Linked DNA regions of Notamacropus eugenii. The protein of the gene in region 2 interacts with the protein of the main gene of each other region in a biochemical or structural test. Links are inferred from orthologs where the notes say so. Each region holds a gene or a part of one and is shown on either strand. Other genes may lie near its edges. The genes, in order: CDKN1B, SKP1, FBXW2 and SUGT1.

Evidence for each region.
Region 1: the proteins of SKP1 (region 2) and CDKN1B interact in a test that uses a peptide from one of them, tested with the Homo sapiens proteins (2 studies listed by BioGRID). The link is inferred for Notamacropus eugenii from reciprocal best matches to the Homo sapiens genes SKP1 and CDKN1B.
Region 3: the proteins of SKP1 (region 2) and FBXW2 form a complex in vitro, tested with the Homo sapiens proteins (2 studies listed by BioGRID). The link is inferred for Notamacropus eugenii from reciprocal best matches to the Homo sapiens genes SKP1 and FBXW2.
Region 4: the proteins of SKP1 (region 2) and SUGT1 form a complex in vitro, tested with the Homo sapiens proteins (2 studies listed by BioGRID and IntAct, with this or other methods). The link is inferred for Notamacropus eugenii from reciprocal best matches to the Homo sapiens genes SKP1 and SUGT1.

Annotation. Positions count from the first base shown.
Region 1 is NC_092874.1:198,276,158-198,283,764, forward strand, and holds the start of CDKN1B (cyclin-dependent kinase inhibitor 1B), read right to left. Parts: upstream 3,151-7,607; coding exon 2,673-3,150; exon of another isoform or gene 2,063-2,672; coding exon 1,941-2,062; 3' UTR 1,932-1,940; exon of another isoform or gene 1,615-1,931; intron 1-1,614. UniProt on the Homo sapiens protein: Important regulator of cell cycle progression. Inhibits the kinase activity of CDK2 bound to cyclin A, but has little inhibitory activity on CDK2 bound to SPDYA. Involved in G1 arrest. Potent inhibitor of cyclin E- and cyclin A-CDK2 complexes.
Region 2 is NC_092872.1:341,051,683-341,059,401, reverse strand, and holds the start of SKP1 (S-phase kinase-associated protein 1), read right to left. Parts: upstream 3,035-7,719; 5' UTR 2,664-3,034; intron 1-2,663. UniProt on the Homo sapiens protein: Essential component of the SCF (SKP1-CUL1-F-box protein) ubiquitin ligase complex, which mediates the ubiquitination of proteins involved in cell cycle progression, signal transduction and transcription.
Region 3 is NC_092872.1:441,489,373-441,496,819, reverse strand, and holds the start of FBXW2 (F-box/WD repeat-containing protein 2), read left to right. Parts: upstream 1-4,039; 5' UTR 4,040-4,071; coding exon 4,072-4,140; intron 4,141-4,254; coding exon 4,255-4,363; intron 4,364-7,447. Other genes in the region: B3GALT9 (beta-1,3-galactosyltransferase 9), read right to left, coding at 593-1,696, 2,534-2,539. UniProt on the Homo sapiens protein: Substrate-recognition component of the SCF (SKP1-CUL1-F-box protein)-type E3 ubiquitin ligase complex.
Region 4 is NC_092877.1:291,035,171-291,042,693, forward strand, and holds the start of SUGT1 (protein SGT1 homolog), read right to left. Parts: upstream 3,086-7,523; 5' UTR 2,833-3,085; coding exon 2,801-2,832; intron 2,697-2,800; coding exon 2,639-2,696; intron 1,569-2,638; exon of another isoform or gene 1,504-1,568; coding exon of another isoform or gene 1,483-1,503; intron 902-1,482; exon of another isoform or gene 866-901; coding exon of another isoform or gene 845-865; intron 1-844. UniProt on the Homo sapiens protein: May play a role in ubiquitination and subsequent proteasomal degradation of target proteins.

The DNA.
Region 1 (7,607 bases), on a different chromosome or scaffold from region 2:
ACAAAACAAATTACAAGGGTAAAAAAAAAAAATTCCACAACTCACCTTTATTTGAAAAATGCCTAAGAACAGAATGAGGGGGAAAACATGGCATAGTGGGCCTTGGAGTCATGAAGACCAGGGTTTAAGTTCTGATTTGAAAGTCACTGAAAGTCTTAGTGCCCCAGGCAACTTTTTTTTCTTAAGATCATAAGTTACAGAGATATATTGTTGATCTACATTGGTAGAGGAGAGTACTAGGAATTAATCACATAGTTAAGTGGTCAGTACAAAAAAAATTAAGAAGATGCAAAATGAATATGGTATAGGTAAACTGTTGTAGCCCTTTAAGCTAGTTCATCCAGCTGAAAAGACCTTTGGCAATATTTTATGGCTATCTCTTAAGCTAATAGGGTAAAAAATTTTAAAGCTTATCCTTGTTTCTTGTGATGAATATATGTGTACAGTTGCTTTTTTTGTTTGTTTGTTTTAAGTTTGCCAGTGCTCTGAGTAAACATTTCTAAAGATTCTTTGAATTTGAGAAGTCTTGCTTAGCTGAATAAGTCAAGACCAAAACTTTATGAGGGTCTGACATAAAGATATATGAAAGAGACCTGGCAGCACTGCAGATATTGACATCTTCAGGTGAATTAGTCAACAATTTCATCCAATTTCCTCCACTGTATAGAGAGGTTCTATAAAGCCATCTTTCAACAAGCCCCTGCAAGTGGGCATTTTGTATTGTATGGAGGTTATATACATTTAATTTACATAAAAAAACTGGAGCGACTTTTCAATTTAAGAAATAAAAACATGCCCTCACACACTTTTAAAGTGTCCTCTATATTGTAGTTTCCATCGACATTCCATAAATGCTTATTGTGCACCTACCAGGTGGCAGCCACTGATAAAGAATATTATAGGGAGAAATGAGACTCAGTTTCTCCTAGTAGACTAGTAGAATTAGCTGGCCTGAAGAATTAAGGCCCCCTAAATAGAGCTTTGAGGACTGAATTATTCCATCTATCTAAACTGATCAAATTCAGCATATTATTGAAATCTCCACTTCCCTAGAGCTAAGTAGACAGCCTTAGCCAGCCCTGATACTTATTATTCCTTTCCCCTTGAAATACCCAAATAGTGAGTTGTTCTAGCACAATTTGCATATACATGCTGACATGTTCCAGATTGCTTAAGGGGGACAGAATTCATTAACTTTTACTTTGCAGCACTTCAGAGCTGTGGAAAAACTTTGTGAGTAACTTTTAATGATTCTGCGTGTTCTTCTGCATAAACATGTTTCCCTCACCCTCCAAAAACCCAGTAGAAGTGGTGTGACACTAGAAGGATCAAAATAAATGAGTTGCACATGCCACTTTATCCTATTTCTAAACTCTTCTGTGACTCACTGGAGCTCCGTTTATTCTCAAATGAAAAGATGAAACCATTTGTTTCCCCTTCTTCCCTCTGGGTCCACACAATGCCTTTATTTGAAACCACTGAAAAATGATAAAACCTTCAAACTCCTCTGCTGGGTCACAGAACAACCACAGCCCTATTTAGGGCTGAAAAAAATCTCATCTTCCAATCAAGTTTTTGTGAAGGCTCATAAGAGGATGATCTCCCTTTCACCAGGAACTACCTCCAGGATAAGTCTTCATCCAGGATGCTATCTTTCACTCTGGAGTAACTGCTTAATTTGTCTCAAGAAAAGATCTGCCTGATGGAGAAAACTGCATGAAACTCAACGACCCTTTCCCCTACTCCTTATTCTTTCAACTTCACAAAATGTGTATGAGGGGGCGGAAGGGGGCCTGAAATACCCTTAACAAACTAGCAAACTTCTTATCCATAGGCAACTAATAAATAAAATGTGTTGAGGAGTTTGCAGAGACTACCAGTTCCAGCAGTGCAGTTTGGTTTCATTTCTGAACCCTAGCTAAGCAACCCACCTAAGTAGTTTACGTTTGATGTCTTCTGAGACTGGGCTTCTTGGGCGTCTGCTCCACTGAACTAGCATTGGGAGAAGTGTCTGAGACCTCTTCTTCAGTAATGTTGGCTCTTTTGTTTTGAGGTGAGACATCTAGCAGGGGAAATTGTGGAGAGGAGGAGGGGAAGACAAGCAACAGATTTTATTAAAAGCATTAGCTAACAAAAGTTAGCCGGGGGAAGGGAGGGGGGAAATACTACCACCACCCACAATCCTGGAGCAATCTGATTGTATTAAAATCCTGAAAATATTGTTGCTATTAACAAAGACCTGCTCCCAAGACCCCGGTACCTATCGAGGGATAACATAGCGCAATCTTTCCCAAGGGATAATTAGGAACATCCTAGCTGCAAGATAATAGTTTGGGTGACTAACATACCTTATGATGGCAGACTGGGGGAGGGGACAGGTGTTTTAGGAAGGCGGTGGGTTTTAAACGTTAAGTTTACAGATAAATTTTTACACCGACTGGCAGGAAACACAACTAGTAGCCTTAACTCAAAAGAAATGATAACTAGTTAGATGAGAGCACCGGAGCGTAAGGTTAATAGCTTCAGCTACCGATGGAAAAGCCAAGAACTGAGCTGGTGTTCTCTAGACACAACTTCGGGGACGGACCTCCAGTAAAGCCAAGGAGTGGCCCAGACAGACCGAGTAAACAAGGGAGGGGTTTGTTTTATTTTAATTTTAAAGGAGCGATTACCATCCGTGGCTGGTCGTTTCCTCGTCTCAGTGCACTGGTCTGCCAAACTCGTCTGGCTTTCGGATGCACCCTCAGTCTTTTGATCTCTTAAGTGGGTGTCCTCTGAGATTCCCTGAGAAGCAATAAAAAACCCCGCTTGGCGCACTCCGTTGAGATCACCGCTCTCCTGGCCGGGCCCCTGGCATCTCCCTTTGGGGTTCCGCGGGGGCCTGAAATAAAACTCGGGCAAACTGTCTTTCTCCACAGGTTGCCACTCATAACTCCCCTCCAGGGGTTTGTGATTCCGAAAGTCGAAGTTCCACTTGCGCTGGCAGTCCTCCTCGATGTCCCTGCAATGCTTCTTTAAGTCCTGCGTTAAATCTTCATGGTTCACCGGGCCGAAGAGGTTTCGGCAAGCTGAAGGCTTGGGGTACTCCGCCGGCCTGCCTTCCATCCGCTCCAGGGTCGGGCTCCCGTCCGAAATACGCACGTTTGACATCGTCCTCCCTCGTCTCCACTCAACTTTTAAAAACGACAACAACAAAAAAATCCGAACACGTAGCCCCTTTTATATAGGTCCCGCGATTCCCTTTCGGGGCCAAGGGAAACAAACAACCACCAATAATTACACAAGCTTTAGGATCAGTGTTGGGTTTGGGGGAGGGGGCAGGGGGAAGCCCGGGAGAGCCAGCAGAAAAGTCTCCCAGCAGATCAAGTGTAAGGGAGAGAGGGAGGGAGGGACGTAGGGAGGGAGAGGGAGGGGGGGAAAGGAGAGAAAGGGAGGGGAGGGGAGGGGAGGGGGGAATTGGAAAAGCTAGTCCAAGACCCAGCCGGTAAGAGCCTGTGGGTTTCCCAAACCGAGCCGCGGAGGAAACAACAGAACAAAACCAAACAAAAACACCTGGCTGATCTCAAAAGTCGTGGTGTAGGAAGAGACTGGGAAAGGGAAGGAATATAAAAAGACACCCCAAAAAGCCGAGCACTTTTTTTTAGTTGCCCAATATGGCGGTGGAAGGGAGGCTGAAGAAGGAGAAAATGATTGACATTGCAAATCTATTTAAACAGAGAAGGGGAGCCATTGGCTGTGGCTTCGGGAGCCACCCCGCGGAGGCTGGTTCGCTGCGTTTAGGCGCTTTGCCTTAAGGTAGTCCGGGCGCAGTTCTGCCAGATACCTCTCGACGCTACCGAAATCGTGCTGGTTTGCAAAGCAGAGGAATGAGACTTGTGCGATCGCGAGGTATCGGGGGTGGGAGCTGGGGGGCGAGGGGGGTCTGGAGTAAGCAACGCTCTCAGGCTAGTCTTTGAGAAATTAAAAGTCAAAAATAAATAGCATAAATTGGCAGTTCACGGAGTTGGGCGGGCGCAGCTCTTCTCGTTTCGGATCCTGCTCTTCCTAGTCTCACCGGCGGGGGGAGGAAGGAGGCTGGTTCCATACAGTTTGCTTGGTACCTAAAAGATCTGCTCATCCTGCTCCGTGGTACCCCCGCCAGCTTGGGCTGCGAAGGTCAGAAAACCTAAAGGCTGTGAAAGTCGCCGGCCAGAATTGGAGGGAAGGGGAGGCGACGGGGCGCGGAACTTGGGGTGGTGAGCCGGCTTGGCGCTCAGGCTCAGCTGGAAAGCTCCGTAGCTTGTACCGACGTCTCCCTTCCAGAGCAGCCTGATAAGGAGCGGAGGGGCCAAGGGGTTAGGGCAGTAAACAGGAGTCAACTTTTCCCAGAAAAGTCAGGGGTAGCGAGCAGAGCTTGGATGACTAGAGTATTTAGAAGTGCATGTATAGGAAAAAGGAACAAAAGCCAGGAAACGACCTTAGATAAAAAGAGTCGAGTAAGAATCATCTGGAGCTAATCCCAGAATCAAAGGTTTTGCTGCTCTCCCTACTAGAGTCCAGGAAAAACGATGTTCTCATAAATGTAGAAACCTGTTTCTGTCTCTTTAAATTCTTCAACCGTTTGGCTGTAGCAATTTCTTCCACCTGAGACCAGCCACTAGCAAACAACATCCTCTCTTCCATCAACTGTTCCCTCATCTTTCTCTTTTCCCTATTCTCAGTATCACCGCCCCTCCCCCCTAACCCTCACTATCTGCAGCAGCTCACCCAGGATACAAATTTCAGATGCAAGTGAAGTGATAACCTGCAAATTACTTTAAGGTGCATATTATTCTCATTGGACGTGTCTTTTGGAATAATTATGAAACTTCTACTGCCATGTCAACTCATCTGAACTAGCGATGATTTGGATACTTTCCCAGTCTGTTACCCTCTGCAACACTGGAGCTAAGAATCAACATTTTTTCCCCAACAGTGCTCAGGAAGTTAAAACAGGAAAATGGAGGGGGGTAGGGGGAAGGTGGGACCGAGGCCAGATTTGATTACAAAGCAAGAGGTTTTGTATAAGTGCCTCCACTCCATATACAGATTTCTTCATATGGGCCAGTAGTGCATTTCAGTATTATTGGAGGCTGCCTTCCTTCAACTGTAGGGTAGTATCAGGTTTTAAGCCTGCTTTTGGAGGGTTTGATGTAAAACTTGTGGCCAGTCATAGGTGTGTCTGATGCTTGAATTTTTCCAATGATTTGACCCCGACTTTTCTTTCCTGAGGACATTGTTTGGCCTTTTTTTTCCTCTGGAGAGGGAGGTGGGAGGGAGCATGTGAGGGAGCATTTGCTCCCTCTAGCACAGAAAAGATTGGCTTATTTTGCATGGAGTACTGATTACTTCTTCGCTATAATGAGAGGTGGTTCTGTAGATGGCCTTCAAGATAACATCTTATGATTCTGAGGATTATAGATCAGCAGTTCAAGTAGAAAGGAAATGCCAAAGAAACAACGCAACACCCAAATAACAGGTGTAGGAGTCAGTGACAGAGGACAGGAGAAATTCTTGCCAATTTCTAAACATGCTTAATGTTTCCTTTTTTGTTGTTCTTATTCCATACTTGATGTACACCAACAAACCTCAACATTTCCTTATGCAAAGAAAAACAGAAAAAGAACATTGCTTATAAACCATGAGTCAAATATACATGGGTTGGGTCATCACCTTACTTCCAAAAGCTGTTCTGATTATGTGTCCTTCTAAACCTTCTGTTCTTTTCTTGTCCATATCAAATTATTGATTGACATTCTTGTCTTTCATTTTCGGAGAGCCCTGTTAACACTAGTCACTAGTCACTAGTCACTGCACTCCACATTCCCCTAAAAAAGAAATTAAAACCTTCCCTTGTAATACATTGGCCTAGTATAACAAAACAGATCCAACCAAAACAGATATTGAAGGTGTTTGCAAATGTTGTGTGCCTTTCTGTATCTCTAATCCATTCACCTCTCTGTCAAAAGGCAGAAGGCACATTTCATCCTCTGTCTTATGGAGTTATAGTTGGTCAAGTCCTTCAAAGTTGTTTTTCTTTATAATTTTATAGTTACCACCTAAATTGCTGTCCTCGTACTGCTTATTTTACTCTGCATCTGTTCATATCTCTTGGTAAGTTTCTCTGAATCCTTCCAGATCATCATTTCCTATGACTTGATAGCATTTATACTTATAAGGGATTTTTCTTCAACCATTCCTTCAACTGATGGGCTTCTAGTTCACTGCTACAAAAACAGTGCTGCTATGAGTATGTACATATGAATTCTTTTCATCTTTCTTTTATCTCTTCAGGATATATGTCTATTTGAAGTATTTCTGAGTCAAAGAGTATGCACAGTTTAGCGATAGATGTGGTTTTTAAAGAGAGTTTTCTACCCGTTTGTTGTCAAAGAAGAGTTCATTCTTTGTATGCAGAAAATCTTCAGAATCTACTGCCTTCACTGTCTCAAGGCCCACCTCTTCCTCTCCCTCTGTCTGTGTCTCAGAAACTTTTTGGTAGAGACTGGAAAGGTCAGGAGGATGGAGCTTGATAGTCTGGGCCAACCATGTCACCTACTGTTGCATGTGAATTAAAAAAAAAAACCTGAAGAAATCATCCAAGAAACCAAGGTAATTCTAATCTTTTGTCCTTGCTCCTTTTCTAAGGGTGGTAAATATATTTTAACTTTTACAATTTCTTTTAGTTTGTTTCTTTGGGAGATATTTTTAATAATGGTTGTATTCATAATATTTCTGCCCCTTCATTTCTGAAATTAGCATGTCTATTGTAGTTAGTCTCTAAAAGTTCAAACTAGGATCATTCCACCTTAAGAAATTCAAACAGCCTACAGAAAGGTTGCATCTTTGGGAGAACTCTATAAAATAGTGTTTTTTAAAGTCAAGGCACACACATCTGTGTGGCCAATATGAAGAGCCAAGGCGTCTGTTATAGAAACATAGGAGCATTTTAAAAATACTATGGACCTCCTAAGAAAAGGGACTCTGAAATGTTCAGAGTACTATTCTTCTCCCTAAAGAGGAAAAGGGAAAAAAGGAGAATACTTTGTAGGAAAACAGTCCAGAGTGACTTCCATGTGTCTCAGGGACTCTAGGTTCACATAAACCCAGGTCTGATGGGGAGGGGGTGCAGGGGGGGGGGGGGGGGGGAGGGTTGATCCCAAAGGAGCCATTATTGCTCTTTGCCTTCAGGCTGGAGTTTTTACTCTGGGAAAAATCTGAAGAAAGCTTAAGTGTAGCTCACTCAGTGTCTCCTCAAACGTAGGCAAGGGTCCCCTAGTCTTATATAGCATTTAATATGAAACACAGATATTGAATATGGGACAACCTTTATTTCACCCTCTACATAAAATTCTTAAAATGCAAAAGATTAACAGGAACCTAGGTACAGAAACATAAAGCTCTTAAGACACTTCTTAGATTGTCCCATGCCCCACAAGGTAAAGACAGTTCTGGGGAATCCTGAACAAAAGTACTCTCCATTGGCAGCCTTAGTGACAGACAGATGCCTGGAGTCCCTACTGCTGAGGAGGCTGAGATTACTGGATTCCTTGAGTTCAGGAGTACTGAACTGAATATGGCTAAGGCCA
Region 2 (7,719 bases):
TGCAAAGGGAAATAGCTAATTTTAGGTCTGAACATATCAACTACCTCCTTCCCAAACCAATCCCCAATTAAATTCAGTAGCTCCCTATTAACTCCCATGAACAAATTAAATCCTCAGTTTGACATCTTAAAAGTTCTTCATAACTTGACCCTTTCCTACTTCCTGAGTTATTTTCCTCACTCCAGTACAATCCAGTTACACTGGTTTACTCGTTGCAAATGCCTTGCACACAAGATGTTCACTAAGTTAATATCAGTTAAATGCACTTCAGTATTACCTTTTACATTACTGTGTGTACGTGTTGGTTCTGCCTACTTTTACACAAGGTTTATTTATCCAAGAATTACTCTGGGATTCATTCTCTGAAAAAGATTCTAGCTTTAAGATTAGAAAAAAATATTTTAAAGCATCTATGAAGTTTTACATTAAATGAAAATGATCTGTAAAATTTAAAATGTATGCTATAGACTTTATTAAATGTACTGCACGTTTTACAGCTGGAAAAAATGTTACAGCTGATTCAAATATGGTGAAAGTAAGCCTTAAAATTGAATGTTGGGAGCTGAAAATGAAAGATGGGAATTGATGACCCACAGTTCCTCTACATCAAATGTTATTGCAGTGAAAATTTTTTTTTAAGTAGCAGGAAAACAGCAATATATCAAAATATTTGTGTAGAAAAAAATGCAAATTTTGAAAAGATTTCATTCCTGGACATAAAAGCAGAAGTTTGAATTCAACGTACCAAAGCTTATCCTCTTATCATACCATACCACCAAACTAACTTGAAACCAGCCCTGCCCATGGAACTGAGGCCAGTTCCACTGCAGCAGATTTACAAATACCAACAACTTCAAAATTACAGAGACTCCATTGGTTAAATAAGGCTATTTTAGAATAAGCTGCCTGCCCAAAAGGCAGATAAATCTAGAGGCTTTAAAATATTAGCTTGCATAATGCATACACACAAGTGACATTAAGAGTTTTTTGGCTAAGATGTCATGGACTACAATAAGCCTGACATTTTATTAGAATGTTAAGTTCCCTCATTCATCCAAGATCAAAAAAGTCATTAACAAATTTGCTTGGTCACAAACTTCAGACCTATCTGGTTACTCTGGAATCTTTAAGATCTTAAATAGCACTGAAGGGATGTTAATCCAGAATTCAAAGAAATTTAGTCATCAGCCCTGGAAACAGCTCCACACAACGCTGCACTCCCCTCCCCCCAAAAGCCCTATTTCCAGAGAAGTGAATCTTCTGAAAAGTAGCCACCTAAACGTTAACGACTACAAATCTGAGTTCCTAAAATCTATGAATACTATTGGTTATATTTATTCCCTTCCTGATTAAATGGGTATGCATTTCTATTACTAAGATGAAGTACATTTATAAATGTCTGAGGTCTTAATATTTCTAACGCTTCCAACTTAAACTGCAAAATGATTTACGACAAATCCTGTCCATGAGGCTTACTGAAAACGTTCATGAAAAAAGCAGAAACATTTTGCCTCCAGGAACACGGAAAGTGTCTTTTTTCCCCTCAAGTCTTGCCATGCAGAAGGGATCCTTTCCACTTGCTTCTTTTGCCACAGATCAGGAAGGCCGTATTTTTAATGCACTGCAGAGCTGGCTCCTACCCCACTGTCCTCGGAGGGAGCTCTAGGGTCCAGCAGCTCCGGGGCTTGAACGCGCCTCGCCAACAATCCACGCCGCCCGCCCCCCGGCCCCGGCCCCGGCCCCGGCCCGGGCTCTCCTGCAGCCGCGGCCTCCCGGCCCTCCGAAGCCACACTCCGCCTAGGACAACGACCACTCTCCCGTCGCGGGCAGGCCGGGGCGGCTGGCAGGTGGCTCCCGAGATAGCGCAGTCATGTTGTTTACCCAGCGTTCGCAGCAGAGCGAACAAACAAAACGCACAAATGCCTTTACAATCCAGGGCGCTCCTACCGACCGGACCAATTTTACAAGAGGAAAAACCGAGACCCTCCCCCTGCACAGCAGGTGAATAAGGAAGTCTGGGGCTTCAACAGAACGGGAATAAGGGCCCCCCCCCTTCTAAGGACTGGGCCGGATTACCCAGCTCCGACTACCCACAACAAATCTGCTGAAGACCCCCGCGAGAGGGGTATAAAGGTAGACCCTTATGGCAAGGGGAGCACAGGAGGTGCCCCATCATTGAGGAGAACTAGCTCGGGCTCGGAAGGAGCCGGCGAGGGAGGTGCAGACGACCCTGGGGAAGGGGGGAGGGCCGAGGGTCGCACGCTGGGCGAAGCTGAAAAGTAGTTCAGGCTCCCCGTGGGAGCGGGCAGGGAGGCAGGCAGACTACGGGGGGCCGGAGAGGGGCCGTGAACGGGGCGCGGGCCTCGGGGGACCCCGGCGGCAGGTATACAGGCTGACCGAGTCAAGGCGCCTAGAAGCGGGACGGCCTGTGGCGTGTGAAGCTAACGTCGGAGCTCGAGCGGCCTGGAACAAGGGAGGGGAACAGGGTCAGGGCTCCCGCCTGCTCTGGCGGCCGGAAACGCCGAGAGAACGGGCAGGGGATGGGGGGCTGGCGAGCTCCGAAGGGAGCGGGCGAGGCCTAGGCCGCCGCCACACAGCAACAACGGGGCCGCGCCCCGCGGCTCCTCCTCCACCCTGCCTTCCCCAGTGCCGAGACCACTTACGGTTCCGGATGCCCGGGGACCCCGGCGGGCAAGCTGGCGGAGCCGAGAAGACCCGGTGGGCTAAGGGACAGGCGATGAGGGGAGGGAAGGCCCCGAAGCAGCGCGGAGCACCAAGACCACTACAGAAGCAGCGCCAGTGGTGGCGGCCTTTATAAGGGCGGACAGAGTGGAGCCAAGGACCCCAGGCCTGGTGACGTCACAGAGCACGCTGGGATGTCCGAGGACATTGCCTGACAGGGGAACGAGCACACACCCACCGAAAGGGGCCTTCTCTAGCCTCCTCTCTTCTGGCACTCTCGGAGGAGCTTTTGTCATTTCCACCCGTCCTGAGAGGGGCAGGCCTGGAGGCACAGGCAGGCTGGCTCGTTGAAGCTCCTGCAGCCTGGGGGCGGGGTCCTTCAGGCAGAGGCTGTCTTCAGCAGAATGCTCTGGAGCTGGGGAAGTTCATGGAGTCTACACCGTGGGTCTTTGTGGGGGACGAGCAGCTCCTGCTTATCTCTGAATAGCCAGAGAGCCAGTGAGGGACCCAGTGAAGGACAGCTGCAGGTCATTTTAAGGAATTTAACTTCTTGGGAGATGGGTGGAGAAACAGGAAAATTAAAGAACCCCCGATTTCTCTGATAGTTTACATTTTTGGACAGAAAACCTTTATTTTACAACGTGCTTTCCTCAAAATAATCCTGATAATTCAGAAAACATTATCCTCATTTGACAGCTAAGGAAAGCCAAACTGTTCCTGCCCTTTTCTATTTTCTTACTCGGTGACCTCATCAGCTGCCTTGAAATCTAATGATCATTTCTGTGCTGATGCCCTTTCCATATACTTAAGTTACCTATTAGACACCCCCAACTGAGCGCCCCCCCAAGGGCCTCAAACTGGACATGGTTAGAGGAAGGAAGCTGTGGGGCGGTAGAGTTGTCATTTTAGTGCTGGAGTTCAGATTTTTGCACCACCCTATGCAAAGCTGAACAGGTCACTTCCTGGGCCTCAGTTTCCTGTTCTGTAAAATGAGGTTTGAACTCATAACTTCCAACGATTTCTCTCTTTCCCCCCCAAAATTCTTCTGGGCTACACTTTTTTCTTTGGAGGGCATCACATCACTGCCTTTCCAGTCAGCCAGGCCTGGGGTGCCACCATCCTTTATTCATTCAAGTTTGCAACAACTTATTTATCAACTTCTCACTCCCCCTTATCACATATATCCAATCAGTTGTCAAGTCTTGTCGATTCTATTTCCATAATATCTCTCCTATTCTGCCCCTCCTTTGCTCTATTCACCTGTCCTCTTTAGTTCAGGTCCTTCACATCTTGCCTGGACTGTCCAGTAAACAGTCATGCCTCAAATCCATCTACTTTCCACATAGTTGTCAAAGTGATTTTCTTAAAGCACAGATAACCATGTCCCTCCCCCCTTTTTAGTAAAACCGCAACAGCTATTATTTATATATATATGTATACATATATATGTATATATATGTACCCAACTTTAACCAAATTTGCCTTACCATTGACTCTTGTGTCTCCCATCTCTGTGGCTTTGCATAGGCTTCCTAAACCAAAAATACAAAGCCATTTAGAACCTTTACTTACTCTTAAAACTGAATCTAGTCTTCAGTCTCTCCCTCTCTAGTGGTTCATTTCCTACTGCTCATGTCTCTTCTATCCTGAAAAAAATCCTCAATTGATCTTCCATCTATGCTACTGCTATATCTCTTCTGCCCACTGTAGTAGCAAACTCCTTGGAAAAGTTGTCCACAGTAGGTGTCATTTTTTCACATGAGAAACTCAGGTCTTTGAGAACGTTGAGTCTTAAGAACTTTGATCAGTGCAATGACTGGTCATGTCTCTAAAAGACGTATGAAGAAGCATGCTACCCACCACCTGATATAGAAGCGATAGACAAAAGGTACAGAGACATATTTTTGGATGACTGCTGTGCAGATTAATTTTGTTTGACTATGCTTACTTGTTATAAGTATCTTTTTTCCTGTTGCTTTTTAATTGAGGAGGGTGAGTTAGAAGGGAAGGAGAGGTCATTTATAAGCACCTACTGTGTGCCAGGCACTATGCTAAGTACTTTTACAAACATATTACTTCATTTGATCCTCACAACAATCTTTTGAGGTAGGTTACCTTTACGTTATTATCCTCCTTTTACAATTGAGAAAACTGAGGCAGAGATTAAATTACTTGCCCAGAGTAAAACAGTGAGTGTCTAAGGCTAGATTTGAACTCTTTTCCTAACTCCAGGACCAGCATTCTAACCACTACACCATCTAGAAGTTTAGAAGGACAAAGAAGGTGGATAGTTTGGGTAGAACATATGTGTGTGTGTGTATGTGTGTGTATGCACACACATACATACACACAATATATGTATGTATACATATATATATTTGATAAGCAAGCAGTATGAAATAGAGATTGATGGTTGCAAGTAGAATCCTCTTTTGTGTTCTTCTGTGTATATGGAAATGTTCTCTCACTCTCTCTTTCCCCCTCCCTGCCTCTGTTTCTGTTTAGGTTCAAAATAAAAGTAAAATGGGAAGCCTCTATAAAATTTCCTTTCTCCTGGTTAGTCTTAGTCCATGGTTCCACAACTGATAAAATGGATCACTTAAAGCTAGAGGTTCAAAATAAACTATCTCACTAATAAAAAACACATTACGCGCCCTCCCCCCCGCCCCAGTCTCCAAGACCATTAAAACTCTGCTCACAGGAAGGCAAAAAGTTCCAGGCAAGGAGACAAAAAGTAATAAGCAAAGAAGTTCCCTGAAGTCTAAAAACTCGGGCCAGAGTGGTAGCTTGAACTTTATATTCTCCCTGCCCAAAGATCCCCCAGCTGGGTCCCAGATCAGTGGGGGGAGGGGAGGTAGAGAAGTGGGGCAGTGCAATTCATACTGGCCCAGCTCTTTTTCATAGCTTCATCACTCATAACTGCCCTAGCAGGTTTTGTGGGAACATGTGGGATGTCAAAGCACTGCACTTCTTCCAGCGTCAGAGCCTGCAACACTCCTCACTTCAGCTCTGTGCTTATGTATGTATGTATATGTATATATACACACACATACACAATAATAGTAACATTATAGCCTGTATAACATATCACATAAATAACATGACATTCTAGCCTATGAGAGATATATATGCTATAAATTTTATACAGATATATATCCTATAAGATATATAGATATGTACTTATATATATTACAGGTTATAGCATATATATCTTACAGGCTAGAATGTATCTTATAGACTTAGATGTATCTAGCCATCTCTACAGATAAGTCTATCTATAGAGATGGCTAGATACATCTACATCCATACATATATCTCATTATCTCATAGGCTCTCATATTTTTTTTGTTGTTGTTCAGTCATGTGTGACTCTTCATGACCCCATTTGGGGTTTTCTTGGCAAAGATACTGGAGTGGCATGCCATTTCCTTCTCCAGCTCATTTCACAGATGAAGAAACTGAGACAAACAGGATTAGGTGACTTACCCAAGGTCACACAGCTAGTGAGTGTCTGAGGCCAGAGAGATGAGTCTTCCTGACTCCTGGGCCAGCAGTCCATCCACTGCATCATCTTGCCCCAACTATAATATTACCTGATTGTTCAGGTATGGAAGGGTCCCTTAGACCTAGTCCAACTCAAATTGAAAATCTATAATTACTTCTATTTTAGCTTCTGAATATATCTTGGCCTTTCTGCCCTTGAGGTGCAGGTAAGGATTGTTTTTAGTGAGGAACTGGAAAGATTTGGTGGGGTTTTTTGGTTTTGGTTTGTTTTTTTTTTTTTAGCCACATCCAGGGGCTCCATTTGCAGGCCTTGGCCTGGTAGGGCCATGGAGGCTCACTCTCTCCCCTTCTGCTGTTCCCAATTTCAGCCACCAGATGGTGCCAGATTCAATTCACCTTCAATTGAATAGGAAATAAAGTTTGAGGGAAGCCTTTGCATTTCTTTTCTGGAGGACCCCAAAGAACCATTTATCAACATGTGTAGGGATATCATCCTACACATGCCTATTTCTCAACAGAAAGAGCTTGATTAATCAATGAAGCTACCATCACATTTTCATCAATGACTTCAACAATTGGTATGCTTATCAAACTTGTAGGTCAAACAAATCTGCAAGAATAGTCGATAAACTTATTAAGCATCTACTGTGTGCTAGCTCTGCCACCATGCTAAGCCTGGGGGAGACAAAAAGAGGCAAAAGACAGTCCCTGCCTTCAAGGAGCTCAAAATCCAACAGGGGAGACAATAAGGACAAATATGGACACATGATCTATATATGTTGGGCCAAATCTAATGAGATGAAGTTTAAACTATTATATTCTTATACTAATTTTGTATATACTTACATATGTGCTTTGTCTCATCCCATTAGAATGTAAATTCAGGAGTAAGAACTGTTTCACTTTTGACCCCAATGCACAGGGTCTAGTACATAGTAGGTGTTTAATAAATGCTTACTGATGTATTACACTTGGCTGTTAAAAAAATCATCACTAATGCAATATTAGGGAGGTATGGCTGGATAGCAGTTCATCTGAAAAGAAAATCTGGGAGCTTTGGGTGGTTTACAAACTCAATATGGATCAAGTGTGACAAGACAGCAAAAAAACCAAACTCATTTGCTCTTAGGCTGCATTGAGCATCCAGAACAAGGGAGGTGATAGTCCCAACATACCCTGTTCAGAGCACAGCTGGAATTATGTTTATATATATTTAGAAAGGACACTGATGAACTGGAGAACATCCAGGCAGACAACAAGGAGAGTTGTTGGGCCTTATGAGGATGGGTTAAAGGAAATGGAAATGCTAGCCTGGAAAAGATAATACTGACAGTTATCATGTTTATCAAGTATTTGAAAGGCTGTCTAGTAGAAAAGGGATGTCTTGTTTTGTTTGAGCCCACAAGGCACACTGAAAACAGTAGGTAAAATTTGTAGAGGCAGATTTAGGTTTGATGTAAGAAAAAGCTTCCTAAAAAAGGTGTCCAAAAAGTAGAATGAGCTAACCTGTAAGGTAGAGATTTCCCTAGACCT
Region 3 (7,447 bases), about 100 Mb from region 2:
TAAAAGTTACCAGCATAGGAGGTAAATGTGCTAACTCAAGGAACTTGTACACCTATAAGAATAAATTTAAGATTTCTATGTAGTAGTTACATATAATTCTTTGAGACTAGATGATGGATCCATGATTTTTTTTAGCTTATGGACCCATTTGCTGTATGCACACAGCATTGAGTATTTTACAATAATTCTATTTAATTTTTTTTTTGTATTTCAAGTCAGAGATATAAAAATACAGAGCTAGTTCCATTAACATATGTATGACTTTCTTTCAACATTATTGAGAAGCTTTACAATTATAAAGAACGAGAAGAGGCAGTTCTTCACAGAAATAAATTTAATGCATTCCCCTTTTAAAAAGACAAGTTGATTGAAGAAAGGATTCTATGCTATATTAAATTCTTTAGGAACTGTTATAAAATTGGTATTTGAAACATGAATAAAAGGGTTAAGAAATTTCTTTCTCTTGCTTAAATATATAATTGCAAAGGCTTTTATAGCTAAGCCTTTTGGGGAAAATACAACGGGAGGAATGTTTACTATGACAGGAGAAAGAGAATTGTAAAGCATATATTTTCTATAGGAAAACGAAATCTTAATCAGCAAAATATATTGCATCATTTTTTATAGGTGCTATATTAAAGTGTTTAAAGCTATCAAGATAAGTTAGAAGTTTGCAGGAGACCAATCCATAATAGGTTTCAAGCAAGGTGCATGCTTTCCCATCATTAACTTCCCTCCACTCAAGTGGCATTTCTTCACCTGTCATTTCTGAGGATGTGAAGATGAACTTATAGCAGCATCGATTGTACCTGATGTGCTTCTCTCCAGAAAACCGTGAACTGTGGATGGGTATGAGGCCAGCGTACTTGGCACAGATTCCTATAAAAACATCAGCAGGTATTGCCAAAGGTGCTTCCTTGAAAACCACATACATCATACGGGCCACATCCTGAGACACAATAAAGGCCTCTCCACTGCAGTAATCAGGGTAGTACTTTTCTGGATACTCACTAATGGGAACAAAATTCTGGCTTTGAGGATCTCTGTTGGGCATATCCTGATGGATGACCCTTCCCACATAGATCTCTTCAAGGTGGTCTTTTAAGTTGAGAAGATAGTCTACCAGGCTAGGGAGATTGACAAACATCTCTTCATTGACCTTGAGGATGAACATGGCATTTGGGCAGAAAGTTACAGCCCACTGCATCATCATGATGGTCTTTAGTGTTTGGTTCCCAGAACTGTCCAGGAAAAATCCTTCAATAATATCTCTGTATTTATTAGACTCCATGTTGATGTCTTGCTGAGAAGTTCCCAGATCTGGCATTCCTAAGGCAAATAATGTAAGGATAGGATGTCCGCGAATAGTAGTCACATTAGCCCAGGTTTTCCTTATCAAATCCCTCCTTGACCCATTTTCTGGACTGCTGAAGATAAGAGAGAGTAAAAAGATATCTTCTCCCTTGCATGCCTCCTCCTGGCTCAAGATATAAAATTTTGAGAGGTTATATCTTAAGGGCTCCACGTTTAATTTTCTGGCTTTGTCCTTAATCTCAAGAACTCTGACATCTACATATGGTAATGATTGTAGAAAGTATTCTTCCACAAAGTCAGCTCCAAAAAGCAGAGCATGAAACAAGATGACATTAAATAAAATGAAGCACCATTGGTGAGTCCGAAGCCTACAGAATGTCACCTAAATAAGAAGAGAACATAAAGGTAGTTGTCTGCCCTCACCTGAAATTAGTGGAAATATATTTGGAGTAGAAACGAATTATTTGCTATGTCTCATTTGAGTTATTAGCCTTTGATATTACCATTTACATGAAATTTGTTTCTCCCATTTTTCCAGTTGCCAAGCAGTTTTTTGTTAGTTGTGGCATAATCTGAAATGCTTATGTAGTTCTGACCCTGGTTTCTGAAGTTTTATTAATATTCATATGTAAATGATATATATGTAACTGAAATATTCCAATATATATTACATTTATGAAAGTACTCAAGTGCTCATTGGGACCAAATTAGATCTGCATGGTTTCTTGTCCAAAGAGGAATGCGTAGTAGTTTTTAGCTAAGAAATACACACAAAAATACAACATACAAGAGACTGCTATATCCTGCTTGCTCTATAGTATATAGCATCAGTGGAGCTCTGATGGAAATAGGTTGGAGTTGGAGAAGGGAAACAACCCATTTTCACTGGCAGTATCTTATAATAAGGCTTTCCACCTTCCTTTTCATATAATTGAATAGAGAAAAAAAATCCTATTCATTTGTAAAATGAGAGAGTTGAACTCTATAGACTCTAAGATTCAGCCTCCAAATCTACCATCCTCTGGGGTCCTCTTATTGATCATTATGATCTGAATTTCTCATTTTCCTAGTTTGCCTACAGCAAATGAAAATGCAGACATTCTTTAAAACTATTTAACCTAGGGTGCTAGAGGAAGAAGCTAGGTAACATAGAATTCTGAATCTCTGCCTCTCACAAGAAAGGTAACAAGTATCTTAAACTTAAAAAAAAAAGTTTTACCTGCATTTTATCCGTGATTGAATTTGGAATTCTCAAAGCACTTTAGTCCAAATATGGATTTGGGTTCAAATATATAGATGAGTCCATTTGCAACTGAAGTGGAAGCACTTTGTCTGGAACTTTTAGGATAAGGTTTCTCTCTAATCAGCTTGATCCTTTGTTCCAGCTTACTTGATGGATGCACAGAAATGCTCATGCTCACACACAAACACCCTGATCATGTTGCAGTTGGAGAAAACCCAGAGTATTAGAACAGTCTGCCTAATTCATTAGTCCCTAAGACTGTAGGGAATCATTAAAAAAGAAATGTTTCCTGATGTTCAGAAATAGTTAATAAAGCGTTGGACATGATCCCTGGGGTTATATTTTTCCTTGTAAGCAATAACTTGTTTACTTGAACAACAGTTTTTCTAATATTTAGCAATTTTCTAATATTTAGCAAGTATGGTTGGATTAGATGATCTTATGAAGTCATTATGTGACAAAAAAAAAAAGTTAAGGGCTTTGTAGGATGTAGGCCTGGATATGTGAATTTAAAGGATTTAAATGAGTCCATTATAGGCTGGGTCTGATAACAACTATTGGCTCTAGAGTCAGAGGACCTAGTTTCAAATTCTGCCTCTCACCAGTGTGACCTTGAGCTCTCCCTTAACTTGGACCTCAGTTTCCTCATCTGTAAAAGGAAGGGATGGCCATTGGGCCCCCTCCTAACTGTATGATCCCATGCTTTAGGATTGGCTAAATTAATGGTTTTTAAAAAGTTCATAGCATACCCGCCCCGACTATAACTCTTTGATTCTCCTAGTTAGATGGTGGAGGTGGAGGTAGCATAATGAAAGAGCCATCAAAACACATTTTGTGGAAGCCATGTATAGTGAAATAGAGTCAAGAAGAGATCCGGAGTTCAGTACATGCTAAATATATGACGTTGAGCGAGTCACCCCACGTCTCGGAGACACGGCCTCATCTGTAAAGTGAGTTCAATAAAATGAATTGAAAATGTTGTGAAAGTTGTGACCTGCATTCAAGGCACTGGGACTTAAGGCATAGGAATTTAACTGCTTCAGTTTTCAAATGGTTAGGAAGCCAGGATCCATGGATAACAAAGGGAGTGCTAAAAGTGGATGATATAAGCAAGGTAAAGAGTAAAAATTGAGAACGAAATTAAATAATGAATCAAGTACTTGGAGAAGTCACACGAACACCCAGTTGACAAGTAGGCAGGCACTGTGGCAGTGAGAGGAAAAGCCCTTTTAAAGGCCCATCCTGACATCTTTCTGTCTACAGGGCTTTACTACGTTTCTTGTTCGCATTTCCGCCGGCTTTTACACACACTTGCTATCTACTCCAGCCCTGGAGCCTGGTGCCGCTCGGCCAGCGTCTCCATTTTGGGGACCACTACGCATGCTTCCTTCATGCTCCTCTAGAAGTGGAGGTCGGAAATGCTCTCGAAGGTACTTCCGGTTAGTGTCTTTCCTCTCCTCGCCCTTCCCCGACTTAACTCGTCAGTTCCCAGGGGACAGGCTGGGCGCGCGGAGATGACGTGCTGTGGCGCCGGAAGCCGCTCCCCTCCGAGCCTCCGGAACCCGAGCGGCGGCCGCGAGTTGGTGTGTGGGGCGGGGGCTCCGCGGGCTGGGACGGCGGGGGCAGCCGGAGGAGGGGAGAAGAAGAGCTCGTGCCCGTCTGACCCACTGTGTGTGTCTTTGTGTTTCCCTGTCCAGGCGCCATGGCTGCCGAAGGTGCCCGGCCGCTGCGAGGCTCCGCCGGCCCGCGGGCGCCCAGGCGGCGTGTGTCCGTCCCGACGCCCCGGGTCCCGGAGCGCGCCCTCAGGTCAGTGCCCGGGGCGGGAAGCCGCGCGCGTGGGGCTTGTGGGGGGGAAGGGAGCGTACGTGACGGGGGGGCGGTGTCCGAGGGAGGCCTCCTCTGCTTCCCTGCTGCCCCGCCTTTTCCTCCCGTCCAGCTGTTTGAGCCAGCCCAGCCTCTGAGCCCCGATAACCGCATCCGCCCCGCAGCGGAGCCCTCTTCACAGATCTTCGCAATAGCTACCGTAGCCCGTCTTTGTAAAGCATTTGGAGGCCCCCAGAGCTCACTCGAATCTTGTGATGTAGGTAGGACCGGTACTAGCCCATCCTGCGGATGATGGAATAGAAATTCAGAGAAATGAAACGATTGACTTGCTCAAATTCACAGCCCTGGTTAAGAAGCCAAAGCCAGGTTGTGCCCAAGATCATGCAGCTAGCGAGCGGAGGTCCTTTCCTTTCAGTCCAGTGCTCTTTACAAGACCGTAACACTACCGGTAATAATGGACGTTTGCATCGCTCCTTGAAGTTCGGCAATCATTGTACACATAGATCTGTTTATATTTGAGCCTCACGGCATTCCCCTCGTGTTAGGCACAGAAATTAAATAACTTGCCTGTGTTTATATGGTGAGTAGTTGTTAATAGGATTTGAACCTGAGTGCTGCTCCCTGACTACACCATACTGTCATGAGGTTTTACACATGTATATGGTTATTTCTGAAGTGTATCTTTGACCATCACATGCATAGATCCTTGCAGTAGAAAGGGGACACCTGTCTGTTTCAGTTCCACCCAGTTCTTCTATGTCTGTTGCAGTTATAGCAAACCTTTATCACTGAGATATATTTGCATTATAATCTTACTAGTAAACTAGCATGAGTAGTATTATTTTCATATTACATGTGAAGGAACGTAATTGTGACATATTGGAGGTCATTCAGGTGTTATTTGGAAGTGTGATTATTTGAATCCAGACTCAAATTGGGTGCGCTATACCGTGTTGCGTATGTTTAACAACCTCCACCAATTAACTCCAAGAGTTAATTCATTTTCTCCTAAGGCAGCAGCACTAATTCCTTTTGACCTAATTCCTAGGAAGTTTTGCTTCTATTGATGTCAGCCTAATCCATATGTTCAGTCAACTATCTTAATGATTTTGAAATACTTTAAAACATTGAGTCATTTAACTAGCATTTATTCACCTATTATGCCAGACACTGTGCTAGGGAAGGATACAAAGAAAGAAAATAACAGTCCCTCCCCTTGTGTACTTGTCAGGTGAAACGAAATTGAAGTATATGTAAAATCATTTGAGGTGGGGTAGAGAGAGGCCCTAGCAGTTGGGGAAAACAGGAGAGATTCCATGTAGAAGGTGGCATGTATTGTAGAAGATGTAATAATGGTATTTCCCATTTATATAAATAATACCTTAAGGTTTGCAAAACACTTTTCCTTACAGCCTGAGCTTCAGGTAGATCAAGAGAGCATTATGTTAGGTGTTTGGAGAGATACAAAGCTTAGGTAAGAACTTGTCTCTGCCCTTGTGGTGTGGATACTAATATAGGTATCTGTAATATACAACAAAAGTTTCAGAGGGAATTGGTAATACTTTCAGTGAGAGGCAGCTTGGTGTAGTGGCTAGAGAGCTATCATGTTTGAAATCCAGAAGCCCTGGGTTCAGAGCCTGCCTGTGATACATACTGGCTGTGGTCCTAGGCAGGCTACTTTCTTTCTCAGTGCCTTAGGCTACTCTCTAAGATTACAAATTGCAGAACAAATGCCATTCTACATTTGTTGAGGAATTTCTTCTTTGGAAGTTCCCTATACAAGTGAAATCGTAGGCCCAGAAAAAATGCATTAGAAAGTTGCAAAAAATGTTACATTTGAGGAGAAGGTTGTTAACAACAAGGGGGTCAAGTCATGAAAGAGTGGCATTTGAATTGGACTTTTAGTATGAGTTGCTAAAGGAGAAGTGGGCTAGGGAATCATAGTGAGCAGCATGAGCAGAGGCACAGGAAAGGGAAACACAAGTCTTATTCAGGGGTCACTTTGGTTGGAACTTAGAGTGCATAAAGGAGGGTAAACTGATAAAGATGGCAGGGTGCTTAAATGTCAAGTAGAAGTTTAAACTTCTTTGGCCAGACAGTAGGAAGTTACTCAAGATTTTTTAGTTGAGGCATTTTATTGTCAAGGTCAGGATGAGTTTGTGATTCTCTATTTTAATTATTCATTGTTTAGTGTCTCCTAGTACTCTTCAGTGAGATCATGATCAAATTAATTTAGCTTTAAGTAGGAAACACTGATTTATTATTTTAAATGATGTAGTCCTGGGAGTTCTTTACTAGGGCATTGAGAAAATGTATTTAACAGGAATTAAAACAAGTATCCAGCCATTATAAATCAAGGCTTTTATAATGTAATAATAGTTCACCTTTATATGATGTGTTAGGCTTTCAAAGCACTCTAGGTACATTATCTTATTTGATTCTTATAGCCAGGTAGGTAGTATGGACATTTTCTCTATTTTATCAGTTAGTAGAATAAAACTCATGATGGGGAACTGACTCACTCAAGGTTGCCTAATTCATTGGTGTTTCCTGATTCTGAGTCTAGTACTATCTGCCATATCCCATTGCTTCATACAGTATAGTGTATGTTAGTGGCTTTTGAAAAAGTAAACCTGACTATTGTTTCAAAATAAAACAAAATGACAAGATAACTAGTACTACTACGGAAACAAATGCGGTATTTAGTGTGACCAGTATTGCCTGCAATTACTTCAGGTTTTAGAACTCTCTGTATTTTTGTACTGTTGTGTCTTTACTACCCCCTGATAGTTTAAGTGGGAATAAATAAGGGGCCAAATCTGTAGAATACCTAAATAGCTGGGGGAAAAAATGAGTGTAGTGAGAAGACAAGGTAGGGGAGAGTATTCTGTCAGCTTTTGTTTACATTGTGCCAAACATTAGACAGATTTTTTTCCCCCATTGAATTGACTGATTGTTTTGGCATTAGATAGAAATTTGTTTTTCTTTCTGACTTTAAGGGTTAAAAATGTAACAACTGGAGATTTTTGAGCCAAGACAGGTTAAGAGTCAGAAAGGGATTAGGAA
Region 4 (7,523 bases), on a different chromosome or scaffold from region 2:
TCATTCATTCAATAAAAATGTATTAAGCTCCTACTAAGTGCCAGGAATCATGGTAGGAGTTGGTGATACATAGGAAAAAAACTAAACAATCCATGCTCTCTAAGGGCTTACATTTTATGTGTCAAGAATGTGACTTGGCTGCCAAAAAAAAACAAAAAAATCTTAGATTCCATTAATATTAGCACAATGTCCTAAATAAAGCAAATTACATCTTGCTATATCTTGGTCTGATAAGAAGTATAACTGGAATACTGAAATCAGTATTCAATGTCACATTTTAAAGACATAACAGGGAAAGACATACCAACTGGTGAAAGGTCCAGAAACTTTGTCAGTTAAAAATGAAGACTTATGGAGCCATATTAATAGCTGCATGTCTTTCTCATGGAAGAGCATTCAGACTTGTTCAGTATGGCCCCAAAAGGAAAAAAACCAGGAGCAACACGAAGTTACAAAGAGAGATTTGGCTAGATGTAAGGGAAAACTTCTTAACATTTAAAGCTGAACAAGAGTAGAATAAGCTGCTTTAGAAGACAGTGAGTGCTTCAGGACCAGAGATCTTCCAAGAGAAAAAAAATACTTCACTATTATAGGATGCAGTCAAGTATGTTCAGGGACCAGAGGGACTAGACAACCTCTGAGCTCCTTTCTACATCTGAGATTCTGTGATTTAGATTTACATTTGCAGACTATTCTATGGTAAACATTCATAAGAATTTTACCTCAATCACCAAACATAAAATGAGCTACTGTATCTAAAGGAATTTCTAGTGTTTATGACAGTATAAAAGCATACTTCCTATGAAATCTTCCAGGCTTTTCAGAACAAAAATTAAAAACTTACTGCATAAAGAGTTGGTTTCATAAAGTACTTTCAGTTTATTCCACTGAATATCAACCACTGAAAAAATCAAGCACATACATATATCAGGGATTTCAGTGCACAATATTCACATCTAGTCAAATTTTTTTAAACAGACAAATGTTGAATCTAATATTTAATCAAACTTACTCTATTTTCTTGTAAAACCATTACCGCAAAAAGTACTTTATCATAAACCTTGAAGCACTACAAAACTGTAATCACAGTAATTACTTATAGTAACATAAAGCCTTCATTTATGTACAACTTAATACTAAAAATAATAACCTACAAAACACACAAATAAAGTCAGATCTCAAAAATTGGAGAAATATTAATTGCTCATGGGTAGACCAAGTGAATATGATAAAAATAGCAATCCTGCCTAAATTAATTTGCCATACCAATTAAAGTGCCATACCAATCAACCTACAAAAAAATTACTTTACAGAGATAAAAAAATGACAAAATTTATCTGGGAGAACAAAAGATTAAATATTATCAAGGGAATCAATGAAAAAATAAGTGAAGGTAGCCTAGCAGTAGCAGATCTCAAATTGGATTACAAAGTAGTAATCATTTAAAACATTCTGGTATTGGCTGAGAAATAGCATACATACCTTTTGACCCAGCAACAGCATTACTAGGTCTATATCCCATTGAGATTAAAAGAAAAAGAGGGGAGAAAGAACCTATAGGTACAAAAATATTTACAGCAGCTCTTTTTGTGGTGGCAAAGAACTGGAAATTGAAAAGGTGCCCATCGACTGGGGAATGGCTGAACAAGTTGTAATACATGATTGTGATGGAATACTATTATGCTCTCAGAAATGAGGAGCAGCACGGTTGTGAAAAACCTGAGACGTACATGAACTGATGAAAAGTAAAGTGAGAACCAAAAGAACATTGCACACAGTAACAGCAATATTATGCGATGATCCACTGTGAATGACTTAACTATTCTCAGCACCATAATGATCCTAGACAATCCACCTCCACAAAGAACCTATGGAATCTGAATGTAGATCAAAGCATCCTTTTTTTACTTTATTTTTCTTGGGTTTTTTGGTGTGATCTGTTTCACAACATAGCTAACATGGAAAAATGTTTTGCCTGCCTAACACACGTATAATCTATAAGAAATTACTTGCTTTCTCAAGGAATGGAAAAGGGAAGGAGAGAATTGAAAACTAAAATTAAAAAAAAAATGTTAAAAATTATTTTTACATGAAATGGGAAAAAATATAACGTTTTCCACCGAAAAAGATATCATAACCCATAATTCCCTGAGTACTTGCAGCTTCACAAAGTTCTTTCCTCCCAGTTTTACAGAGGAAGGCAACGTCCCAGAAAAGCGATTTACACAAGCCCCAACACTAGCAACGGGAGGTCTGGATCCCTGAGCAACAGTAACCTGGGAGGAAACGTGACACTCGGAGCCCGCCGGTGACTCGCACAGAGCGCAGACTTCACACCAACCCACGTCCTCCCCACGCCAGGACACTTGGCAGAGATCCCACCTACAGGTTATCTGAACCACAAACGGGAACCCCGGCTGTCCCGTCGGTGGGGACTCCGCTCCATTAGAAAGGTAGGGGAGGACTCTCACAAAGCGGACGAGCACCGCACAAGATACAATCGCGGGGTCCAGGGCGCAGGGCAGGGGCCGGGGGCCCCCCGACTCCGCCGTGGGACAGGACTTTCTCCTGACACCTGTCAGCGGGGGGGGGGGGTCTGAAGCCCCCCGCGGGGAGGGCCGGAGGGGGCTTCTCTCACCTCGGCGGCCGCCTGGGGGTCCTCGTCGATCTGCCCGTCCGACAGGGGCGGGAACAACCTGCCGGGGAGACAATCACGTCAGCGGCGGTGAGCGGAGTGGAGAGCACAGGAGAAGAGGGGGAAGGGGACCAGAACCACCCCCCGGGGCCGGGAGCCACTCACCCCGACGCCGTTGCGGGTCCCGCCGCCGCCATAATTCGCGCTGTCTCCGCCGCCGCCCAGGGGGGAAACTTCTGGAGAAACACCCTGCGAGCTTCCGTCCGGAGGAGCCGAGCTAGCGTGAGGGGAAGAGGGGAACGGAGGAGCAGGCGCGGGGACTGACGGGAAGCCGGAGGACTGGCCCCGCGGGAGCCCCGCCTCCCGCCGTGTTACCAAGGCAACCCCCGGGGCTACCCACGCGGCGGCCTCCTCCTCTCCCCGGCACCGCCCCGCCTCCCTCCTAGCTCCGCCCCCTCCGCTCCGCTACGGCAGCCTAGCTCTCTCCCCTCCCCCGCGATTTTCGGAAAGTCCCTCCTTTAACTGTGGTGAGTATACAAGTCTAGTAGGCCTCTCCCATAGATCAGAAGTCAAAGGCTATAAACCGTAGCCGGAATAAATCAACAGCCGTATGAAAAAAACATTCCAAATTATTACTCTTAGGAGGAGAGCTGAAGATTAAAACTTCCAAGTTTCGGCAGACGCGAGATGCAGGGAGGGGGAGGAGACAAAACAGCCACACTAATCCGTGATTGTGGCCGCTGTGGATTGGCGCAATCGGTAGTAACTTGAATTGATGCTTAAATAAGGGCGAAAGTACACACATCCTTTGATCCCGCTACGCCAGGAGGTCAGACAGGAAAAAGGCACCAAAATATCGGTAGCGATACTTTTCGTGCTGGCAAAAACAAAACAAAACAAAAAACCCTGTTAATATTGAGTTCCTGAAGAATGGGAAAGGCTGAAAAGCTGTGATGCCATTTTATTGTGCCTGTAAGAACTGATGGTATACTGTGAAGAGTGTGGGCGTGGAGTCAGGAAGACATAGGTCTGTATCCTACTTTGGGCAAGACAAGTTAATCAGTAGACATTTGAAACCTACTATGTGCCAAACTTTGTGCTCGTTGCCTACAAGGACCTTCCTTATATGTTCTCTGAGGAAATAGCACACAGCAGGAGCAAATGTAAAATATGCACAAATGAGTATTTTGGAGGAGTGGAGCAAGCAGACCCTTGCAGGAAAGTGACCAATACCAGTTGAGTGGCTACCGGGGTTCGGAAAAGGCCTTTTATGGACGGGGACTTAGCTAAGCCTTGAAGGGAAATAATTCTAAGAGACAGACGTGGAGAGGATGGAGGCGAGGCTTTGAGGACTGGGTGTGGAAATCACGGGGGTCCCAGCACCCCTAAAGCTCAACAGAAAGACCAAAGGGAAGGAGGGAACAAGCATTTATTTCGTAGTCGTTCTGTGACAAGCGCTTTACAAACATCTCATTTGATCCTCACAACAACCCTGGAAGGTAGGTGTTTTTATGACTCCTATTTAACAACTGAGGAAACTGACACAGACGCGGGTTTGCCGAGGGTCACGCTGCTGGCTCGTAAGGGGAGGGAGGGGCCCGTGAGGGGAGGGAGGGGCTCGTGAGGGAGGGAGGGAGGGGCTCGTGAGGGAGGGAGGGGCTCGCGAGGGGAGGGAGGGGCTCGCGAGGGGAGGGAGGGGCTCGGGAGGGAGGGAGGGGCTCGGGAGGGAGGGAGGGGCGGAGGGGGGAATAGAGACAGAGATACAAACGGTGGATGGGCAAGGAGGCAGAGAAATAGACAAGCCGGCAAACCCTTAGACAGAGAAGCAGGCTGACTGGCGGACACAAACACAAGCAGTCAAAGTAGCAGGCAGGAAGGCAGGTACCTGCACACATGCACACACGTGAAGTGCAGCCTTCAGCACAACGTGCTGTTATCAGAGGACACGCGCTACTTCCGGCCTCACAGCCGCCATCCTTACGTCATGGCGCATAGAACGCGCCAGGACGTCGTCTGGCGTGTCGCGTCACCATTCCACGATCTCGCGTTTTCCCGAGCAACAGGCCCGAGAACGACTGTACCTCCGGGACCTGGCGGAGTAGAGGGCGGTGGGAGTTTTGACTTCCGGGTATTAAGCACGAAGCTTCCGGTTTCCTCTGCGCCCTTTCCCTGCTAGTCTTCTCCGAGGTCCAGTTTCCGTTTCTTACCCCGGCTTTCTTCTGTCTCCGACTTTCCAGAGACGTCGGAGCAGCGATTGGCCGATGGCCGATCCTTCGCATTTTAATGGGGGCAAAGGAAACAAAAAAAAAGTAAAGCAGCAGGGGAGGGCGATCTGAATCTTGCTTGGGAGGCAGAGATCCTCGGGTCGAGGCCCGTTTCTGTTTCTTCCTTGGCTGGATTTTATCCCTAAATCGGGGGGACAGTTTTACGATCCCTTCCCGCTCCGAGTCGATCCTAAGATGGGCCGGTGTGCCTGGAGGGTGGCGAGAAGCGTGGGCTTGCGTGGTCTTTTCTCCCCATCCCCCACCGCGGGCACACACCCCGTTACTGGTGGCGTGGAGGTACAGGGGATCTCCAGAGTCCAAGTGAGAGTTTAATCTTTAATTGCCCAAAATGAACGAGGCCGTTTGGAGGGCGCCTTACGACGCGATTAAACTTGCCCAGAACTTTTGGGGACGTGGGGTGGAAACGACCGTCAGCCGCCTGCTGAGTTTCACGTGGAGCCTTAGCGATCACGTGAGCCCAGACTTCCCAAGGAATTGTCAACAGAAGTAAATGCACATTGTTTTCGGTTGGGTCCGTTTCACTGTGTATTTGGGGTAAGGTGTGAATCCCAAGGGAGATTCCGCTCTCCTTAGCCCTGTTTGTCTCTCGGTCCTGTGCTCGCAGCACTAGTGCCCAGTTTTATTTCATTTTGGCTGCAAGGCAGGCCCGTAGGAGCAAAGAGTTATTCTTAAAAACCTTCATAATTGCTAGGTCTTTTTACCCCGCATGCTCAGGCTGCCTGTCAAAGCAGTCCATCTTTTAGTAAATCTAATGGTTCTTCTACTAATCCTTCAACGTGCCTGATGTTTATCGTAGTGTTAATCAGACAATTCTGAAATAAAACCAGTAACTAAACAAGAAAAAAAATACATTTTAACCTATGGATGCTCAAGAGTTGGAATCTGAGAGAGTGTCCAGTTGGGAAATGGCTAAAAAAAATTATGGATGTGATGGAATATTATTTTGCTGAAAGAAATAATGGAGATGAAGATGAGCAAGCAGACTGGCAAACAGATGGCCTTAAACAGCAGACTACTTACTGTTAGGTAAAAAGGTATTTTGCATCATTATAAAAGACACTTGTATTTCACTATCCAGAATCATTGATTTCAGTACCTATTGTAATCATTGTATGAGATATGTAATCCTTTTTATTTGGTATGTTAACAAGGTACTCTGCTTAATAACTTACTGGGTATAAATTTTATATTAGAAACATTCTCCAATGTAAATTAAAAACTATATATCCTGCCCTAAAAACAAACAAGAATACTTGAACTTTTCACATTATTTATTCAATAATAAACCAATTAAAATACAAAAGATTTAGGAATTTCAAAAATTTGTCTTTAAATACAAATTCACTCTGTAATAATATGAATACATAACATTAGGCCTCTAACCAATGATTTTTCATCTATAAAAATCTCTATACTAGGAAATAAATTTGCTGAAAACTTTATTTTTTTCTTGTGAAATTAAATGTACAATATTTACAGCTGAAAAAGTATTCTAAAACTACTCCATCAAAAGCCTGGATATGTATGCATTTATGTGTGTCAGCATGTGCACGTGTATGTATATACACATATATATGTATAAAATTCCCACCCCCCACCCCCCATTCCCATTACATAAAAATCAGGAACAGAAAAGTTTTTATAAGCTATTGACAAGTGAGCCAGATTGACCCAAAACTAAATTTTTTCAATAAAAATTAAGTAGGCACTTAGGAACGGTATCCCTGTTTATTCAGACCACTAGTATATATCATTTAGTAAACCATGGCCATCATTTACTAAATGCCACTCAGTAGTCTAAGGAGTTAAAGAAATCTCCAGGTAAAACATACATATTTGGCAAAAAATGCTGATCAAGAACTACTGTGACATTGGATTTTTTCCTCAGGCATAATTTATTTACAGTAACTTGACGTTTTAAATGGTGTAATAAAAATGTTTAGCATGAGACTATTGAAATCAGAATATTTAGAGCTAGAGTTCAACTTGAAAACATGTTAACAGATAATAGCAATTTTTTCGTCCTATGGGAGTGTGGAAATTACATCATTTGCCAACCGGCCACAGCTTTAAAGAACACCTAATTCCCCAGATGAAGAAATTGAAACAAAGAATGGTTAATTGATGTGCCCAAGGTCACACAGAGTTGAAGTCCAGACTAAAGCACTCTAGCGGAGCCCTGGAATGCCCCTGCAGGTACTACTTGCAAAGCAGCCCAGATTGAAGACTGAGTTTCTCTTTTTTTCTTTACATTTTACATACCAATTCTTTGTGGCACACAATGTTAACAGTGGGAAGCAGATGAGCAACTGAAATCAATTTTAAAAATTCATGAGATAGACTTTATACAAGTGGAATGAACATAGTTTCTATATAAACTCACTGCTGCCTTACATTTAACTAACATATTTACATAGGAAATAAAAACTATCATAACATGGAATCAGAAAGGGGATTTTAAAAAAAAGATAAAAGTGTAGCAATTAAGACAAAGATCTCAAAAGAAAGCCTTCATAATATAAAATGCATGTTCCTTCATGCTTTAATTCTAAAATATGTCCATGCAGCAGGTGCAGCATTTTTTGTTTCTTTTTAACATTTAA